Lytechinus pictus: one gene and its partners. The protein of the gene in region 1 binds, or shares a complex with, the protein of each later gene. Links are inferred from orthologs where the notes say so. Each region holds a gene or a part of one and is shown in the gene's direction. Other genes may lie near its edges. The genes, in order: E3 ubiquitin-protein ligase Hakai-like, protein virilizer homolog and N6-adenosine-methyltransferase non-catalytic subunit-like.

Region 1 (7,103 bases):
ATATTCTTCTGATTATATTTATACATATGAAAAAATCATTGTCTATTCATTTCATTTGAATTATAAAAATATAAATACATATTCAAATTTTCACTGAACTGCATAGTAATCGGAGTTCCATACTCCCAAACCGAAGGGGGGGGGGGCACTGATCTCTCCTCTAGAGGAGAGATCAGGGGGGGGGGTCGAGCATGAAGAACAAGCCATGTAGGAGGGTAAGTGAGAGGAATATATAGTCCGGGGTAATAACAGGAATAGCAGAAGTAGAACAGAAAGAAACTGTACCCCGTCCACAAAAATCGTTCCCCGGCTCGATCCCCCACATGAATTCTATCTAGAATTTATGGGGGGGGGGGGGGGTCAGGTTCTGAAAAAAATATGGACCAGAGGGATTGATCAAGCACGGGTAGGATCGAGGTTCACATTTATGTATAATTTATATTTTAATAGGTTGTTTCTCAAAAAAGGAGTTTATTTAGGTCTTCGATCATTACTCCAGATAGAAAAATAACGCGAGCTGATTTTTTTTAATACCAGCCAGGCCCCTGAAAAGAAGAAATTCAAAAATCCTATAAAAGAATTTATGGGTAGCATAACTAATTAGTATTACACTAAGCAAGGGTTTTGAAAATGGGGTGGGTTAGGGGGCCGGGGGTGGCCATGCAAAAAAAAAAAACAGAATGAGAAAGGCATTTTTTAACGTTTTTGTACACATTTGCTGAAAAAATGGGGGACTTAAACCCCCTTCGTTCCAAGCGCCCGGTTCCGAGCCCCTGCTAACATAAGTTTTCCAGGTTGAATGTCCACTGATTGGAACCAATCGTCCATCATATAGATGATATAAGTACAGTAGTTCAAATGTCCGCATATATATGATTTACTGGATGAATCGCTAGCAACAGATATAGACATCCTCTGAATGCCCGAAACCCTAGAATGCAGGTATTTATAATGTATTTACCCGAGTAACAAATTATGTTAATTTATATCAATAAAGATACAAAAAAGAGTAACAAATAGGCAAAAAGACATGAGCAGAATTATGTCACCAAAGTACCACACTATCTTCCCCTCTAGCTTTTAACTAACTTTTTTTCTCTCCGGGGACGGGGAAAGGTTAGCTAACCACCTAAACCCTCTTCCCAACTATACCAGACCCATTAGTAACATGGGGGGGGGGGTAAACTTAGGATAATTGTCGCTATATATATAAGCCTAATTTCGTTATCTTATATAGAAAATGAAATGATAACAATGATATTGTTATCTTTTCAATTTCTTAGACCGGGGAATTTATTTAATTGCACTTGAAGCATAGGAAAGAACACTTTTTTTATTGCTGGCAGGGGAGGGGGGGGGGGGGTATATTCTTTCAGTACCAGTTGGTACCACTAGCGTTATTAGTATATATCTCTATGGTTGGTACACATTGAATTTACTTTTACAGTTCGTGGAATGCAATTGCAGATAATAATGTTTTGTTTTACCGTCGACTGATTTATAGGCAAATATTCAAATACATCACCTGCATGTGCAGATCCCTTATATATTTACTGATCTTTGAGAGAGGGCGAAGCGAGTGGTGAACAGGACAGTTTCAGTTTTCGCCAGCTTTTTTGGCAGGCCTATATACACAGTCGGCACAGTCTCTTAAAGGAGAATGAAACATTTGGAACAAGATAGCTTGTGTGAAAACAGAAAAATCAAAGAAACAGATCAACGAAAGTTTGAGAAAAATCGGACAAATAATGAGAAAGTTATGAGCATTTGAATATTATGATCACTAATGCTATGGAGATCCTCAAATTGGCAATGCGACAAAGATGTGTGATGTCACTTGTGAACAACTCTCCCCATTATTTTAGTATATATTTCTTTTAAACTGCCTCTTTTATCACATCCATCAGTAGATCATGTGTTCTTTCTATAGGAGGGCATGTAATACAGATTTTTAAAGAATACATCATGGATAAAGAGTTTGTATCATCATCAGAAAAGGCAAAAAGATACATTTTTGGGGTATTTTATAGTCCATCAAAGGGAAAGTTGTTCACATGTGACATCACACATCCTTGTCGCATTGCCAATAGGAGGATCTCTATGGCATTATTGATTGCAATATTCAAATGCTCATAACTTTCTCATTATTTGTCCGATTTTTCTCAAATTTTCTTTGTTTTTATTTTTTTATTTTTCTGTTTAGACACAAACCTATCTGTTCCAAAGGTTTCATTCCCCTTTAAGGCCACCGCACACCTTACGACTGTTCGCGATCCGATTTTGAACAAATCGCATTTTGCTCATTTTCTGAAAATGTAAATGGAACATATCATTTTATTCAAGGTTAAAATTAATTGAAAGAATACTAATATAACCATTTTGAAAGATTGCAAGCCTTTATTTTGGAGTAAAGGCCAAATTAGTTTCGAATCGTAGCCAATCGTACGACTGATATGACGTCATTACGACCAGTGGCGTACCTAGGATTTTCCACAGGGGGGCAAAACCGTCCGCCCAAAAATTTGACAAGCAAAAAAAAAAAAAAAAAAAAAAAAAAAAAAAAAAAAAAAAAGGTCTTCAAGCTCGTCAGGGGGGCATTGAAGGTCTTAAAGCTCGTCAGGGGGGGGGGGGGGCAAAAAAGGTTTTTCAAGCCCGTCAGGGGGGGTAAAGATACGTTTTTGCATGGGTTGTCACTCGTCAGGGGGGCAGAGTGCCCCCCTGCCCCCCCCCCGTAGGTACGCTAGTGATTACGACTAGATATTGAAATTGCTTTTATTCTAAGAAGGATGATAGCATAGTCACAGATTTGAACATAGGTATTCGTACGATGAATTTGAGCATTACACATGCAGTAAGAAATTCCAAGTCTCAAATTCTACTACGTTGTATTCCAAAACTTGAGTCGCAGACCAATCGTAAGGTGTGCGGTCGCCTTTTCTCCCCTTTTCATTTTTCTCCCCTTCACTGATCACCTATTTCCATTTTCATTATTTTTCTTTTCTACTTATTTCTATTTTTGATCGGCCCACTCCCGGCATCCGCCCTTGATTAGGTTTCGGTCTAAACATATGGGCATATGGCAGAGAAAAAAAATGCAGTGGCAAAAATTAAAAATAGCGCGGCAGATGCAGACGCAATTAATGGCAGAGGTAAAAAAAAATGACAGAGGTAAAAATAACAAATAAAAAAAATCAGTAGGCCTAGCAAGAAAAATTACATTCAACACTAATAACAACAGCAACAACAAAAAGGGGAAAAACCCCTAAACAATCGTTCTTATGATAAATATAAACTGTTAGAAAATTTCCCACTTAGAAAACCCCCAAATATTCCTGCAGCAGAGTTTCGGAACTCCTATAACCTTATTGCACTGTGTAATCTTTTGTGTAAAATTACAGAAAATTGTAATAAAACTGTTTTCCCTTTTTTATAACAGACTTGTTCTGTAAACTTATAGAATATTGCAAAAAATCTTTCCTGTTATAACAATTCACAGGATGATTTGATTTTTTTTTTTTTGTAAAATCTGTTAATTTTTTTTTCTTCTGTGAAATCTTATGTTTTTTCTAACAGTGTAGGTCAAGCTCCACCTCAGAGAAAAAGTTGATTTGAATCAATCAAGCAAGCATAACTTTGAAAATATCATCAAAATCGGATGTGAAATAAAAAAAAAGTTGTGATCATTTGAAGATACGCTTGTAAAGCAGTTGTATACACAATTCAGTGATATAAAAATGAGAGATTCGATTATTTCATACTTTATATAATAAACTACAAAATAAATAGTAAATGGGTGATGTCATAATCAGGCCCCACATTGCAATACCAACCAGGATGTGCATATTAATGTTTTGTGAAATTAAGCGAATCTTTAAAATGTCATAACTTTCTTATTTCTTATTTTGTATTCGATTTTGATGAACATTTTCAGTGTTATGGTTAGACTTTTTATTCAAATCAACTTCTTGCCGGGGTGTAGCCCTTGATTATTATAGGGTCTACACCAAGAAAAAAGTCAGGGCTGTTCAACAAAGACTATCTATTCAATAAGAAACCGGTATCCGGTACGTAGGTGTGCCGGTTCACAGCTCCGCGATCCGATAACCGTGGACAACAAGCGTGGGAGTCACGATTAGGTGAGATCATATCGATCGTTTGAGTTAATTTTTGAGAAATTCATTTTCATTGATAACAAATTTTGAAGTTCATAAACTGTAGAGGTTATATGGATGTGATCATGGCCATGATTTAAATTAATTTTACAATAGTTTGGTACAAATTAACAGTGAAGAAAACGGTATCGGACCCGTCATAAAATAAGAACTTAAAAAAAAAGAAGATCATGTGCCCACATGTTGAATTTCGTGTTGGCTAAATTTGAATTCGGGTAGTAATTTATTTAGGCTTTTTCAGTTTTTGCCTTTACTGTTTACAATTAAACATGTTTATCTGAAAATGTATAATAAATACTTATCAATGCTTGCCTGCCGGATGATCCAGTACTTCATGATGTATCTGGTACATTTGTAATTGTCTCTTGTAATGTTGTAAATCGGATCAAAAATCAGATCGAAAATCGGATCGGCAGTTAAGCTTCTAAAATCGAAATCGAATCGAAAATCGAATCGGTGATGTTTAAAAACAAAGGAATACATCAAAATGTTGTTCGCGGTCGCGCGCATCTTCCTGACAAAGTCACAAAGACGAATGCTTTGGAATGGAAGTCGCCAACATGCGCGATCGTTTGGAACATGTTTTAAAGCCAGGGGTTTTGAGGTGTTATTGCTTTAAAATAAACCGAGTGATTTTTATTAGAAAGATAAACGAAAGACGCACCTTCCGAGCAAAGGCGCAAAGGAAAATAAAATGAAAATATTTCTCATAGATCACAGGTTAATGAACGATCGGCGGGACATCTTTTAGAAGTATTTTTAGGTGCTAGCGATTTAGAATTATTGGAATGATCTCTTACGACGCATCATCTTAAAGTCGCAAGTGCAATTAAAATGAAGTAGACGACGCAAGCACGCACGATGATTTGAAATATGTTATTAAAATGCTTTGGGTAGCTAGCGTTTTCAAATCAATTTGAAGTTCACGGCGGGGTCCGCTATCACCACGAGGTTGAAGAGAAGATGTCTATCATCATAAAGGAGGTAAGAGAGTAGTGCAGTGAGCTCCGTCGGTAATACGACCTTTCAAAGTTCACGGCGGCATCCGCTATCACCACGAGGTTGAAAATAAAATGTATATCATCATAAACGATGTAAGAGAGTAACGCAGAGAGCTCCGTCGGTAATACGACCTTTCAAAGTTCACGGCGGCATCCGCTATCACCACGAGATTGAAAATAAAATGTATATCATCATAAACGATGTAAGAGAGTAACGCAATAAGCTCCGTCAGTAGCACGATCTTTAAAAGATCACGGCGGGGTCCGCTATCACCACGAGGTTGAAAATAAAATGTAAATCATCATAAACGATGTAAGAGAGTAACGCAATGAGCTCCGTCAATAGTACGACCTTTCAAAGTTCACGGCGGCATCCGCTATCACCACGAGGTTGAAAATAAAATGTATATCATCATAAACGATGTAAGGGAGTAACGCAATAAGCTCCGTCAGTAGCACGATCTTTAAAAGTTCACGGCGGGGTCCGCTATCACCACGAGGTTGAAAATAAAATGTATATCATCATAAACGATGTAAGAGAGTAACGCAATAAGCTCCGTCAGTAGCACGATCTTTAAAAGATCACGGCGGGGTCCGCTATCACCACGAGGTTGAAAATAAAATGTAAATCATCATAAACGATGTAAGAGAGTAACGCAATGAGCTCCGTCAATAGTACGACCTTTCAAAGTTCACGGCGGCATCCGCTATCACCACGAGGTTGAAAATAAAATGTATATCATCATAAACGATGTAAGAGAGTAACGCAGAGAGCTCCGTCGGTAATACGACCTTTCAAAGTTCACGGCGGCATCCGCTATCACCACGAGATTGAAAATAAAATGTATATCATCATAAACGATGTAAGAGAGTAACGCAATAAGCTCCGTCAGTAGCACGATCTTTAAAAGATCACGGCGGGGTCCGCTATCACCACGAGGTTGAAAATAAAATGTAAATCATCATAAACGATGTAAGAGAGTAACGCAATGAGCTCCGTCAATAGTACGACCTTTCAAAGTTCACGGCGGCATCCGCTATCACCACGAGGTTGAAAATAAAATGTATATCATCATAAACGATGTAAGGGAGTAACGCAATAAGCTCCGTCAGTAGCACGATCTTTAAAAGTTCACGGCGGGGTCCGCTATCACCACGAGGTTGAAAATAAAATGTAAATCATCATAAACGATGTAAGAGAGTAACGCAATGAGCTCCGTCAATAGTACGACCTTTCAAAGTTCACGGCGGCATCCGCTATCACCACGAGGTTGAAAATAAAATGAATATCATCATAAATGATGTAAGAGAGTAACGCAATAAGCTCCGTCAATAGTACAGTCTTTAAAAGTTTCTGGCGGGGTCCGCTATCACCACGAGGTTGAAGAGAAGATTTATATCATTATAAACGATGTAAGAGAGTAGCGCAGTGAGCTCCGTCGGTAATACGACCTTTCAAAGTTCACTGCGGCTTCCGCTATCACCACGAGGTTGAAAATAAAATGAATATCATCATAAATGATGTAAGAGAGTAACGCAATAAGTTCCGTCAATAGTACAGTCTTTAAAAGTTTCTGGCGGGGTCCGCTATCACCACGAGGTTGAAAATAAAATGAATATCATCATAAACGATGTAAGAGAGTAACGCAATAAGCTCCGTCAGTAGCACGATCTTTAAAAGATCACGGCGGGGTCCGCTATCACCACGAGGTTGAAAATAAAATGTAAATCATCATAAACGATGTAAGAGAGTAACGCAATGAGCTCCGTCAATAGTACGACCTTTCAAAGTTCACGGCGGCATCCGCTATCACCACGAGGTTGAAAATAAAATGTATATCATCATAAACGATGTAAGGGAGTAACGCAATAAGCTCCGTCAGTAGCACGATCTTTAAAAGTTCACGGCGGGGTCCGCTATCACCACGAG
Region 2 (7,586 bases), on another chromosome or scaffold:
GGTTGTGAAAACTTTTTTTTTTCCTTTTAAATTTACTTCAGCACCCCCACTCAATAAAATCGTTCCCAGGGCCCTACCCATGTGAGGTGAATTAGTACCCGGTAGGATTTATTTCTTGAACGCTTTAGCGCCTATAATGGCGGCTCAGCTAATAGCCATGGTAATTACCAAGTATCAAGCGCAGTAGAATATATGCATATAGGAACTGAGCTATATTAATGGACCATATTATTATTATTATTATTATTTATTATTATTATTATAATTGTTATTATTATTGTTTATTATTATTATTATTATTATTATTGTTATCATTATTATTTCACTTCATTTCCTTCTATTTTTACCTCTGTTCTTTTCTTGACTGTACCCCCATTGCAGAACAGCATTTTGACACAGCAGATAGATGTTGGGCAACATACTGTCCTCTGTGTTGGGTAATGTATGTTGGAAGCATATTCGTATATAAATATATATATATATTTATAGGCAGTTATTATCCAGTTGAGCAAATTTATTACCCAATTATTAGTTTTTATTACCCAATTTGCACAGATTTTAACCGATAGTTGTGTGGACAGTATGTTGCCCAGGGTTGGTTAAAAGTTGGGCATTTTTTGCCCAATTATTTTAAGAGTGTAATCCAGCTCGTTTATATTTCCTACAGTTATGCAAACTGTAAATATGTAAGCCAATCTGTATCGTTGTGTTTGTTTTTGATTTTTCGAATCGGAAAATAAATAATACTATTTCTACATGTATTAGAGTGTATTGTCTTTATTTACAGGTATCGATTTCTTCCATAATTTTGGGCTTATGAAATATGCATGGATCGTAAAAAATGCGAACAGATTCGTATCAAATCAAATTATAATTTTCCTACTCTTTATTATCGTTCCATGACATTTTCTCCGGCGACATGCAATCGCTCCGATGGAAAATCAGCACGTTAACCCTAATATAAATAGACTGGGCCATTTCGTCGCCTAAGACGACGGGGGGGGGGGGGGGGGAGGCTGAGACGAAAATTGGCACGCGCTACCCCTGGCATAATATGCAAAACTATAAGATCAAATTCTGCGAAAAATCTAAAAAATTATGGTTATTTTGCTAATTTATGCATAAAATCAAAAGGGTGCTCTGATGAACTAAATATTGCCCCTAAAATGCTAATTTTGGGTTCACATATAGGAATCTGATCAAATGCGTTTTTAAAAATTTAAACATCTCATTTATTTTCTCATGTATTTTATTATTTTTTAAATTTCTTATGTAGGCCTAATTCTTTGTTTTTCGAATTTTTGTTTTTAATTGTTAAGTTTTTTTCCAATTGAGATTGTCGGGGAATTTATTTTGACCATAAACAAGATGAAATTGATCGATTTTAATCAGTAAAAGGAAAAATAATGATACATTTATGAATTTGGGCTAAAAAAACTATTTGCATTAGATTTGTACACGAATCCACGTTTTTGAGCAATTTTGGGTCTGTACACTAAAAAAATAGATTCAACTTTGCCCCCCCCCCGAGTTTGCACCTTTAAAGGTGCAGACCAGAAGTCACACTGGGTGCAGCTTTAAGGTGCAACTTTGTACCTTTTTGGAAAGGTGCAACTTTGCACCTCTCTGAAAGGTACAAAGTTAAACCTTAAAGGTGCTCCCATTGTGCCATCTGGCCCCCGTCTTACAAAGAATTGCGATTGATCCGATCAATTGCAACTATGGGAGGCCAGCCAAGTCAACACATGAAATGCATGTTTGTTCAAAAATTGTTCTATATATGAATGTATATCCATAAAGTCATTGATTTCTTGACAATTTGGTGTGTTTTCCTTTGTTTACAAAGGACATTTTGCAAATTTCCTGTAGAAAATATTATGACACTGATGGATTTCCATAGAATTACTATTGATTGCATGGATCAATCGTAACTCTTTGTAAGATGGGGCCCTGGTCTGCACCTTTAAAGGTAGTGAGTGGGTCTTAAAAATTGCTGCACTCGTTTAAAATTATGTGCATATTATATTCACAAAGGAAAATGAGGGTGACTAATCAATAGTGAAAAAAAAAACACTTCACAAATAAGGAAAAATATTTCTTTATATATCAAAACAAGTATAAATGAGGATTAAACGGTGAGATGTTTAGAGGTAAGATGTTAGTGGGAAAGAATAGGATTATTATTATCCAAAATAGAGTGGACGAATGATGCTATCACAGATCACACTGTAACTCCCCCTAAAAACGTGTAAATAACACGATGATGCAAATATCAAAATAAAAAGACTGCAGACACGAAAATTTTTGAATAAACTTTAAAGGGCAAGTCCACCCCAAAAAAAAAGTGAATCTGAATAAATAGAAAAAACTCAAGTATAATGCGGAAAATTTCACCAAAATCGGAGATAAAAAAGAAAGTTGTAACTTTTATTTTTTTAATAGAAAAACATGTCCAACGTAATATCAAATGAGAGTATGGATGATGTCACTCACTATTTATTTTGTATTTTATGCAGCGGCGTACCTAGGATTTTCCAAAAGGGGGCAAATTTTTTGGAGGATATTTCGTCCGCGAAAAAATTCGACAAGCCCCCCCCCCCCCCAAAAAAAAAAAGGTCTTCAACCACAAATAAAGGATTTCGTACCAGAAAAAAATTTGACAAGCAAAAAAAAAAAAAAAAAAAAAAGTCTTCAACCGCAAATAAAGAACATTTCCTACCAGAAAAAAATTGCCCCCTCCCCCTTAGGTACGCTAGTGATTTTATGGTAGGAAATAAAGAATGTTTCAATTTTTGCAGATTTTACTATAATGAAGCATGTTTATGTTTAGTGAATTAAGTTATTTCATATTTCATCATTCCTTTCATTAATTTGCATAACGACCAGAATATGCAGCTAACTATTTTATGATGTCATAATTTTGCGATGTCATAATATAACTTTATTTTACATCCGATTTTGATAAAATTATATTAATGATATTTTCTCTCTTCATTCATATATGGGGAGGATATGCCCTTTAAATTTTTATTCAGAGATAATGCAACATTCTAAATTCTGAAAAAATTTCATTCTATTTGGAATGTTTTTTTTAAATTATTATTATGTTCACTAATGCAATTAATGGAAATGAGGGGGGGGGTCCACTATAATAGCAAAGCTTGTAAAGTGTGGATCCCCCGTGGAAATGAAAAAAAAAAATATTGCCGACTTATTCATGTATGCGTATATATGCAGGATAGAAAAAATGAGAAGGAACAAAAAGAATTTGAACTAGACAAATCAGCAGTCACTAGCTAAATTAGCTCTTCGTTTTTGAGAGTTATTCAGGACATTGATTTGATCAATGTTATCAATAACTCAACGTACATTTAATGGGCATGATGGGACAAGGCCTAACGATCTATTTGCAAAAATTGTCCCAGGTTTCCTAAAAAAAAGTGTGAGGATCATGCCCCTCACTCTAGTGTATTTAAAATAATGTTTGAATTGGTTTCTGTTTTTTAAAGTTAGTAACAATATTTAAAAGCATTTACAAACGTACTTGTTTCATCATAACCACACACTTGATGCAAGATCATTGATGAGTTACTTGCATTGTTTGTATTTATTCCATATATATGAATATACTTAACTATCACAATAGTCTGTAATTACAGGTATGTCTTTTTCATTTATATCATTATTATTTTAATTGAATTAATTATTTATTATTCATTAATTTATTTATCTGTTCATTCATTAATTTGTCATTATGGAATATATTCAACTTGGTGATAATTCATAATTGGTATGGTGTCGAAAATCTGTCTATCTGACGGTCAATTGGATCGGGGTCGCCCTAGCCACTAACCCGTCTCTGTGGTCTAGTGGTTAAGGCACCGGCGTTCAAAGCTGGGGGCCCGGGTTCGATTCCCGGCAGAGACATTTTTTCGGCATCACCAATTTTTCCAAAAAGGGTAGATAGCTCTGGGGAACCTTGATTTAAGCTACGCCTACCATTGTTCTCTTCATCCATTTCTTTCACACAATATTTAAATATAAAAGAGTTGCCAAAGCTTAGTACATGTATAACTTCACACATTTATATATATATATATATATATATATATATATATATATATATATATATATATATGTTCAAATTTAACAAATCATACAAATCCTGTCAAACATGGAGGATGGCCCATTTCAGCGGTATTTACAAAATACCCCTGTTCTTCCTTGGGATTTTCCGGGGGATGTTGGCGCTTCCCTCTGCTATTGAACTGAATTGAATTGAATGGAATAACTTAATTGTCCATAAAAGAAATTCTTCTTTTTTTCACTGGTTTACACACATGTAGATACAATGTATATACACAGAACAAAGGGAGTGCTTAGCTGGGTATTCTTTTAACAATAAATGCTATGCAAATTGCAAATGGTAAATAAAAACAACTATCATCACTGTCTAATACTATCGCCATTTTCCCCATTTTCGTTGACACAGTTAAAGACACAGTAACGATAACATTTTTTGCCATGGCCGCCTTACCGAGTCCCGTCGTCCTAATCAGGGAGTAACAAATACAGAATGACTCGCAAATTTCTGACATTATCCTTCCTTTGCAAAATCACCTTGTTCTTGATTTGGTTTTGAACAACTACAGAAAGAATTTGAAGATTTGAACCTTGATCAAGTTTGAAACGTTTGCAGTATGGAGGTTCTTTTCTTCGACACGCTAACCCACGAAACGAGTGAGGTGAGTCCACCCAATCATGGCATTGGCAATCGGCAATAAGCTAGCTCCGCCGCCTATGGCTATGCAAGGCGCGGCCGACGGCCGGCGAGGCGCGGTGCGGATGGGGCTGGAGTAGCCAGACAGGAGGCTCTTAGAGAGTAAAAATCATTCACTAACCAACATGTGCTGGCGCTAGTGTAGTTTCGCACCTCCCCGTTTAATGGTTTTCAAACATGTACAATCTCACCCTAAATAATTCACAACCTAAAATACTTGCATCTGAGCCTCCAAAGTCCAGTAGAAGTTGAATATTTGCCGTTTTGACATTTTTTTAAACAAAGTTTTACACCTATTTCGGAATCACTCGGTCGCTTGAAGCTCAGCGCTGCACGCACATAAGCAGTCGGTACGCGTACAGTACGTACCACCTAGTGACGTGCAAGAAGAGCGAGTTTTTCTATGGTATCTTCAAAAAGATTTTTTCCCCTCTTTCAGCTTGCACCAAGTATTACGGTAGTGGTTGTGCAGAGTGGTTGATGTTTGTTGTGTGAATCACTGTGAAGGTGTGTGTGGGGTGTGCGTATGTGTGCTTGTTTGAATGAAATAAGAAATGTGAAAAACCACTACCGTAATACTGCACTTCACTAGGTGGTACGTACTGTACGCGTACCGACTGCTTATGTGCAGCGCTGAGCTTGATCAAGCGACCGAGTGATTCCGAAATAGGTGTAAAACTTTGTAAAAAAGTGTCAAAACGGCAAATATTCAACTTCTACTGGACTTTGGAGGCTCAGATGCAAGTATTTTAGGTTGTGAATTAATGTTGTAAATCGGATCAAAAATCAGATCGAAAATCGGATCGGCAGTTAAGCTTCTAAAATCGAAATCGAATCGAAAATCGAATCGGCGATGTTTAAAAACAAAGGAATACATCAACATTTTGTTCGCGGTCGCGCGCATCTTCCTGACAAAGTCACAAAGACGAATGTTTAGGAATGGAAGTAGTCGACATGCGCGATCGTTTGGAACATGCTTTTAAAGGGTTTTGAGGTTTAACTGCTTAACAATAAAATGAGTGATTTTTATAAGAAAGATAAGCGAATGACGCATCTTCCGAGCAGTCGCAAAGGAAAATAATTCTCGTAGATCACAGGTCAATGAACGATCGGCGGGACATCTTTTATAAGTATTTTTATGTGAAGCTGAGCTCAGCTAAGTTCGCTCATTATAATATGTGATTACAGCCACGCCCAATAACCATTCCAAAGTACACCCATTTTGTTATAATAGCTTACTTGGTACATCATTTCTCCGAATCAGTTCTGGGAAAAGTTAAGTCACGCCTCAGTATCGATCTTTTTGTATACCCACCCACTCAACAATATCAGTGAATTACGCAATGCGCGCAAGCATTCACACAATACAAGATAGTTTTGTGGCATAGCCGAGAACTGGAACCGCCCAGACTCAACGGGCTAGCGCAAAATTCTTTACACTACCTTTTGGCATGTGCACGTGGTGGGTTTGATTGACACTGCTAACAGTGCTATTCTTTGAGTTGGCTCACTGGCTGGATTAATGACAATATATCACTGCAAGTATGGCTTACATGATACATACAACACGCAACACATCCATACACACTGCTCTCAAACTCCCTTGCTATTATTCGTACCTAGGCCGTGTGTGCACTTATGGGCGGGATTTAAGCAGGGCATTGACTAGCATATACAACACATCCATGCACCCAGCATTCATATACATTTCTCAAACTCCCTTGCTATTCGTCCATTGTGTGAACTCATGGGCGGGATTATGACAAAAATTAGCGCAAGCACTAGCATACGTAATACACACAATACATTCCTGCACCCACGCGGTCACACATAGCTCTCAAACTCCCTTGTCATTCGTCCATTGTATTCACTCATGGGCGGGATTTATCAGCGTAAGCACTAGCATACATAATGCGTACAACACATTCATGCAGTCACACACAGCTCTCAAACTCCCTTGCTATTGGTCCATTGTATTCACTTATGGGTGGGATTTATCAGCATAAGCACTAGCATACATAATGCATACAACACATTCATGCACCCATGCAGTCACATACAGCTCTCAAACTCCATTGCTATTGGCCATTGTGTGCACTCATGGGCGGGATTATGACAAAAATTAGCGCAAGCACTAGCATACGTAATACACACAATACATTCCTACACCCACGCGGTCACACATAGCTCTCAAACTCCCTTGTCATTTGTCCATTGTATTCACTCATGGGCGGGATTTATCAGCGTAAGCACTATCATACATAATGCGTACAACACATTCATGCAGTCACACACAGCTTTCAAACTCCCTTGCTATTGGTCCATTGTATTCACTTATGGGCGGGATTTATCAGCATAAGCACTAGCATACATAATGCATACAACACATTCATGCACCCATGCAGTCACATACAGCTCTCAAACTCCATTGCTATTGGCCATTGTGTGCACTCATGGGCGGGATAAATGACAAACACAGTACAAGTACATGTTCATTGTTTGTATATTATACAATACATTCATTCCAAGTTACACTCCTGCCATACCAGTCAGCGCAGCTACCGGTAGGTCATCATAAGTAGGTCAACCTTTTATGAGTCATTTCTGACATTCTAGGAATCTCAATTGTTCGAACTATTCGATTGTTAAAAAGCTCTAAATAGCTAGCACCTCTGCAAGAACAATCTTGAAATATGTTCTGACCGCACTGTAACTAGATCTACAGGTATGCCGATTTTTTATATCCGATTTTTTCCTTCAAGGGGCATGATCAAAGATCGGCAAGTGATCGCCGATTGTTGTGAAA
Region 3 (7,397 bases), on another chromosome or scaffold:
TATTCATTTGTCTCGCAATCTACTATGGTCAACAAGGAAATTCGTGATCACTCTCGCAAAAAGTGTTCTTTAGCTTTCGAGTGCCGCTGCAACTCTTTATCCTTGTTGACCATAGTAGATTGCGAGACAAATGAATACCATCTAGCGATTATTTCATTCCGCAATAATGAACCTATTTAGTATTATTTTATATTTAGACCTAAAAAGGGACATTATAAGCAAATTTTTGTAAACATAATACGTACGTGTCTTACTAAACAAACAATGCAAGCGCGAAGCGCGAACTGAAATATTTGTATAATATTGTCCCCAAACAGGGACATTTTAAGGACTTTTTTTTTGGGGGGGGGGACTCCATTAAGAGTATATATCTCACCATATTCATCTGATGCGAGTTCAAAGCGTTTGCTGATTTTGTTAGAATTACATCTAAACACAATCATGAAGCACCTATTCATACGCGTCTCACCAAACAAATATTGCGAGCGCGAGCTGAATTCAGATCTGAAGAGGGGCATCCTAAGGCTTGTTTGTATAGGAATTCACTAACCAAATGATGCGAGCGCGAAGCACGAGCTGAAAATTGTTGATATTCCGATCAGAAAAGGGGACATTTTAAGGACGGATTTTAGGAATTCATGAAGGTTAGACATATCTCACCAATCCACATAATGCGAAGGTAAGCACTGTCTGGAAATGTTTTATAATCAGACCTTAAAAGGAGGCAAGCAAGTCTTGAAAAAGAAGCATATGTCACTACATAAAACGATAATATCTCGGCGAGGAAATATATTTAGTGTATACTGACTTGAAAACGGGATGTTTTAGCACAACAGGGTAATATATATATCTCCATACCACATCATGGTATGAACAAGATTTTTTTATGATTGTGGCCCCGAGCATTGCCATAGAGCTAAGCTCATTGCGTGACAAGTACAAAAAAAGGGAGGCACAGTATGGCGCACGCAGCAAAAAATTGCTTAATATAAGTCCCGAGCTTGTACCTTGTACCTTGCAGTTCTATTCCCTGAAGTCCTCCACCAGGAAGGGTAACTCAGGGCTGACGAGAGTGGGAGTACTGTTACTCTGTTTTGTTTTGTTGCATGATTTGCATGTTTAGTTTTACTTTAAGTATATCAGTGCTGTTGGAGGATACCGTATCGGATGTGAGACTATTCCAGTGGGAGATTGCTTCAGGGAAGAAGTAATTAGCCAGTTGGGTAGTTGTGATGAACTTTGAAGTGACGTCTGTTCAGACGTCATACAGTTCATCATGGGATCTTCTTAATCTTGTTATTTTTCTTGTGGCATATTTATTTAAGTCAAGTTGAGTTTCTCCATGGATGATCTTATATAAGTTGATGATTCGGTGATTTCGCCTCCTTTCTTCGAGAGACATCCAGCCAAGTGTTGTCATTATGTTTGTAACGCTGGATCCCCGTGTGTAGTTCCCTGTGACGAATCGGGCGGCTCGTCTCTGAACCATTTCCAGCAATTTGGTGTTCTTGATTGTGCCTGGGTGCCATGCTATCGAAGCATATTCCAGGTGGGGTCTAACAAGTGTGTGGTATAGACGTTCTTTCACTGTTTTAGAGCAGTGATAGAAGTTCCTTCTGATGAAGTTTAAAGCCCTCGTACCTTTGGCGGATGCCTGTTGTGACTGCTTATCCCATTTTAGGTTGTTTTCTATAATTATGTATTCCTAGGTATTGATGGCTATTTACTTCCTGAAGTTGTTGACCAAGGAGTGAGTAATTGGTATGTCCTGGTACTCGCTTTCTGGAGATCCTCATCGGAGGGGTTGGATATTGCTCGGTAGAGTATGCAGTCATCTGCGAACAGTCTTGCCGTGCTGTGAACTGCTTCTGAGAGATGGTTTATGTACAAAATGAAGAGGTGGGGCCCGAGGACTGTTCCCTGTGGAATACCGCTTAGGACTGGTAACCAGTTTGATGTTTTACCATTCACTACTGTTCTTTGATATCTCTGGGTCAGGAAGGATCTTATCCACTCAAGGGTCTTGCTACGGATGCCATACAAGTGAAGTTTCTGCAACAATTTCTTGTGGGGGACGACATCGAATGCTTTGCTGAAGTCGAGTATTGCGATGTCACATGTCTCCTTGTTGTTGTGATGAGTAGCAAGATCATGGATTGTGGCAACTAATAATGTGTCACATGATCTACCCCGTCTGAAAGCATGCTGGTAGTCAGAAAGGATTGAGTTTGTAGTAAGGTGTGTCATTAGATGGCTGTCAACTATATGTTCCATAAGTTTGCAGCATACACTGGTCAACGATATAGGGCGATAATTAGCTGGTTCATTTTTAGGACCCTTCTTGTAAATAGCAGCGATGTTCGCTTTACGCCAATCCTCAGGAAGGATCCCTTGGTCATATGACTGTTTAAATATGAATTGCAGGACTGGGGCTATTTCTTCAGCTGTAAGTTTAAGAACACGGTTTGGTATGCTATCTGGTCCTGCGGCCTTTGAGACCCCGGGGGGGGGGGGCACTCAATATATAATGCATAGTGGGTATGTGCCGCGGAGGGGACCCCCATTTTTACACTCAAATTTCCGTTCCAAGGCATAGCATTTTTGTCTTATTGAGAAAAAGAACAAAGAAAGCCGCTCCAAAGCATAGCATTTTCTTCTTATCGAGAAAAAAGAATAGAGAAATCCGCTCCAAAGCTTCGCATATTTTTCGTTACGCCGTTCCGGTCGCATTGATCTGCTACAAGGAGCTGCAATTTTGGTGAAAAGCGGCCGCAGAGCGCTGTCCGACCATCGCCGCTTCTGCGCGAGCGCACCCGGCGGAGGCCGCGCTAGCTGTATCATGCACGCATGCCCGTTCCATAGGGATGCATGCGCACTCATCACACGCTGGCGATCCGTTCCAAGGACCCCCGTTTTCACAAACATTTGTAGTTCCGAAGCCCGTTCCGAGGACCCTCCTTTTTACAATTAGCCCGCTCCAAGGCCCCCGTTTTTTGTCTCGCCCGCGGCACACCCCTACCACTTTTTTGGTCGAGTGCCCCCCCCCCCCCGGGTTTGAGACATCTAACTTGTTCAATAGCTTGATGATGCCACTAACCGTGATGTTGATATCTGGCATATCAGGGATGTTATATTCTTGTTGGAAGGTTGGGGATTTGGGTTTCGTCTCTTGAGAAGACGCTCTGGAACTGTTCGGCCAGTGCGTCTGCTTTCCCTTGGTCATCAGTGATGATTTCGTTTCCCTTCTTAAGGCTCTGGATCCCTACGTTGTCTTTGCGCCTGGTTTTGATATATTTCCAGAACTGTTTATTACCGAGCGAAGCGAGCGAGAAAAAAAGTCACCTTTTCATAAGAATCTAATTTTGAGATTGATTTTGACATGGTATTAAAAAAATATATATTTTACATCTTCCTTTCCTTTTTTTTCATCTTTTCTTTTTTTTTTGGTTCTCGGTTGTAGAGCTTTTGGGGGCCAGTGATATGCGGATCGGGTCCGGGGCAATGGCGGCACCAGGATTGTTAACCGGGGGAGGGGGGCAAAATAGCATTTTTTGGGGGGGCAACACACAAATGGTTTGCCTATTTCTCAAAATCGAGCGAGAAGCACGAGCTGATTTTTTTTTATGTAGACCCTACTGACTTGAAAAGGGACCTGTTAAGGACTAGCTGTTTGCATTGGGTCAATCATGAAGATGATATCTCACCAAATAAATAATGCGAGCGCGCGAAGCTCGAGCTGAAAATTTTTGACATCCTGAGATGATAACTGGACGTTCTAAGCACTTTTTGCAATCATGGGCTGGATGGCTATTTAATCCAACAATAAAATTGATGCGAGCGCGTAGCGCGAGCTGAACATTTTTCATTTATGAAAATTATGAAGATTTTTCCAAATCTAAAGAACGAAAAAGCTGTTTTGGAGCACTTAGCAGCTTTAGTAGGATGCTTATGACAACATTTACTATACATTTTTTTTTCAAAATTCGGGGGGGGGGGTGCAACTCACTGGGGGCAAATGCCCCCTGTGCCTTCCCCTTTTCCTTTTTCCTCTTTTCTTCATTTCTTTCTTTCTTTCTTTCCCCTTCTCTCTTTCTCTTTTTTTTTTCTTTTTCCCATTTTGTTATTTTCCCGGTGAAATCCGCCAGAGGGGGCAGCTTGCCCCCCCCCCCCCCCGCCTGTTACGCCACTGGTGAGTGAACGAAGAAGACAAGCGGGAAAGGAAATAAAAGGCGGTCAGAAATAAATAAGAAAATATAAGGAAAATTAGAGTGGAAATTGGAAAGTAGAAATATAAGAGGAAATTAAGAAACCATGCACGGCAAGAACCAAACTGCAAACAATCCTAAGACTTGTCTTTTTTTTTCTTTTTTGTTGTTGCTATATTGGTGTCTCAGCGACACCATCCTAAGGAACATCCAGCGTCAAACTAAGTTTTTTTCCTCGATACAAAACTCCTTTTAAAAGTGAGAATGTCTGAAAGGCTGAAGTCAATAAGAGCGCGGTCCTCCCAGCGGAGAAAAATCCTTGCCCAGCAGGTGAGTCTAAATTTGTTTATATAGTCGGTGTTACCACGTCAATTTACACACAACATTCTAACTTAATACAAGTTACAGAAAAAGGAAACACGGATCTTTACGCGTGGGGCAATGCAAATTCAAGCCGTTGTCTACGTCGCTCGTCGCCGAAATGCAGCCAATGTCCACCCAGGCCAAGGGTTCATTACATGCCGCCGCGCACAGAAAAATCAAGCCATAGAAGTCGTGTGTTGTGGACCCAAGAAGTGAGATCCCAGCACGCGCGACCCACTAGTTAGAAATCCACTGCCAAACGAGGTTCGTGGTGCGAGGTAGTAATAGTAATACTAACCTCGCAATACCGGTACGTGTGAGTGGCCAATGGCAATGTCGAGCCCTACTTAAGGTCTCGTGAAACTTTTAATAGCAGAGACTAGAGGCGCATGGCCAATAATGGGAGACTGTCACCATCATCATGATCTTGTTCTCTTTGTTATTAGCTTAGCTACGAGACGCATATAGAGGGCGGCAACATCATGGGTAAGGATCTTAAAAAGTTAAAGACTTTAGAATATAATTAATAAACCACAAATTATTAGCAAAAAATAATTTGTCCAAATATTTAAATTGGCATAGTTTTTATCATTTGTAAACAAGGTGCGTAGCTTTAGGTCACCCCATCATACATTATCAATTTTATTTTTGAACAAATATTCATTCAAAAACCAAAAAATGTATAATGAGAAGATGGGAGAAAACTTACCGATGTTTACGGCATGATGTTGCCGCCCTCTATATGCGTCTCGTAGCTTAGACAGCTGGCAGCCGTCTGTTTCGAGGAGTTTTTTAACATTTTTTTATTTTTTAAATTTCTCCTCGTACACAGACGGCTCGCTATCGTGCAGCCACCATTAGGGGACTTACAATGCAAAATCCCCATGTCGGGGCTCTTCAATTTTTGTCTTTAATGAATCAAACTTTTGAAAATTAATCCAACCGAAATGCAAATTAATATTCCCTCTTGGCATTAATTGCCCCAAAAACGGGGAAAATCAAGTTAAAAGGAACAAAAACAGTGACTTACCTCGGCTGTTGCGCAACTTCACTGCCCTGTTTTATCCGAACTTAATGCACATAAACATATGGCCATTGAGTCCCCTGTACAGATCGCGCTAGAACTTCGGTCTCTGTATTTGGTGAGTGAAGCCAACGGAGTTCAGCTGAACAACCAACATAACAGAGACCGAAGCTTTTGGTCTACTCGTAGCTAAGCTAATAACAAAGAGAACAAGATCATGATGATGGTGACAGTCTCCCATATTGGCCATGCGCCTCTACTATCAAAGTACACACCCGAAGAATCAAAACTATTTTATAATTAATTTTTGTGGTCATCATTGTAAAGGGGAAGGATTACTTATCATATATCTAACTTCACTTTTTGAAATAGTGATTAGAGTTTGCAGAAATCGGCTCTCAAAAATGATTTATTTTCATGCCATATTTCTGCCTTCCACCGGTCCTCTTGCGAGCTCCAGCTGAGTGACGTCACACAATGAGCGGTGAGCAGCTGAGCTGACAGCAGCCCATTGAAAACGACCTTTCCAATCAGCGTTTTTTGCTCTTAGAATTGTTTATTCCTCATAAGATTGGTCTTGTTATATAGATAAAAGTTTGAATTTACTGAACAATGAAATAAAATGCACATTTAACGTATTTTGGTAACCGATATTTAGCTTAGAAAAAATGATTTTTTTTTTCAAGAAATATATGTGAATAAACAAAGCACATTTTCACTTAGAAATCACACTTGCGTCACATTAATATTATAATCAATATAAAGCATAGACATTCTTCTTCACGCCTGAACAAAAATTATGAAATTTCATTACGTAGCAAAGTCAGGAACCACAAAAAACACGGTAATATCCATCACGAAATGATTGGAATTGCAGTTGAATTGCCGAAGCATTATGAGGCAACAGTGGCGAACGGACTTTGTTTCATATATCCTTAAAAGCCCCAGTGCGAGTAAGAAGCGGTCTGTGGCCAAACCGGTAAAACGTTATTTTGATGAGTACGAGGACCCTGGTTCGAAACTCGTGATATTTTTTTGTTCGGGGATTTTTTGTAAAATCATTTTATTCCTTCCCCATTCCTACCCAGCTCTTTTTTTCTCTTTTTATTTTCATGTGAGATTCTATTCAGACCTGCATTTATTAAATCGTACTTAATTGCTGCTTTTGATTTTCAAGTTCTTGATTAGATTCTGCACTTATTTGGGCAGGGATGGGAGGGGTAGAGGATGAGTTAAATGTCAAGTCCACATCAAGTAAAAATTATTTGAATAGAGTAATTTCCCTTGTTTTTTTACTCAAAACAGTTATAAACACAAAACAATGACATGCACATTAGAGTTGATTATGTCACATCTTATTCATTTCAAATTTTGTTAAGCATTTTATTTTTTATTATTTAATTTGAATCAGTTTTTATGAAATTTTCTGAATATTTTTTTTTTGTAATCAAATGAATTTTTGGTTGGGTGGACTTCTCCTTTACTCTTCACATGGAATACATAGCAATATTTATCCAGAAACAAAATTGTCTTAAAATGTGCAAACCAGTAATTGGACACATGTTCACTTTCCTTTCATCCAGGCCACTTCCTCGATCACATCCACCAGGCTTACAGTCTTATAACAAACATGATGCACCATCACACAACTGCAAACAACATTCACAGTGCTTCACAATAAATATTTCACTTTTGTTCATACATGCAATGAATATTGTGGAAAACAATAACAGGCATACCCATATTCCAATATCATTTAAAAGGACAAATATATTATACCTTTCGAGAAAAAAATTCTGACGATA

The links.
Region 2: E3 ubiquitin-protein ligase Hakai-like (region 1) and protein virilizer homolog share a complex: the UniProt entries of both Homo sapiens proteins name them as parts of the WMM complex. The link is inferred for Lytechinus pictus from reciprocal best matches to the Homo sapiens genes CBLL1 and VIRMA.
Region 3: E3 ubiquitin-protein ligase Hakai-like (region 1) and N6-adenosine-methyltransferase non-catalytic subunit-like share a complex: the UniProt entries of both Homo sapiens proteins name them as parts of the WMM complex. The link is inferred for Lytechinus pictus from reciprocal best matches to the Homo sapiens genes CBLL1 and METTL14.

The regions. Positions count from the first base shown.
Region 1 is NC_087247.1:8,408,584-8,415,686, reverse strand, and holds the start of E3 ubiquitin-protein ligase Hakai-like, read left to right. Parts: upstream 1-4,089; 5' UTR 4,090-4,136; exon of another isoform or gene 4,137-5,156; intron 5,157-7,103. UniProt on the Homo sapiens protein: E3 ubiquitin-protein ligase that mediates ubiquitination of several tyrosine-phosphorylated Src substrates, including CDH1, CTTN and DOK1. Targets CDH1 for endocytosis and degradation.
Region 2 is NC_087246.1:52,279,881-52,287,466, reverse strand, and holds the start of protein virilizer homolog, read left to right. Parts: upstream 1-4,498; 5' UTR 4,499-4,700; coding exon 4,701-4,745; intron 4,746-7,586. UniProt on the Homo sapiens protein: Associated component of the WMM complex, a complex that mediates N6-methyladenosine (m6A) methylation of RNAs, a modification that plays a role in the efficiency of mRNA splicing and RNA processing.
Region 3 is NC_087262.1:6,678,685-6,686,081, reverse strand, and holds the start of N6-adenosine-methyltransferase non-catalytic subunit-like, read left to right. Parts: upstream 1-4,390; 5' UTR 4,391-4,469; coding exon 4,470-4,535; intron 4,536-7,397. UniProt on the Homo sapiens protein: The METTL3-METTL14 heterodimer forms a N6-methyltransferase complex that methylates adenosine residues at the N(6) position of some mRNAs and regulates the circadian clock, differentiation of embryonic stem cells and cortical neurogenesis.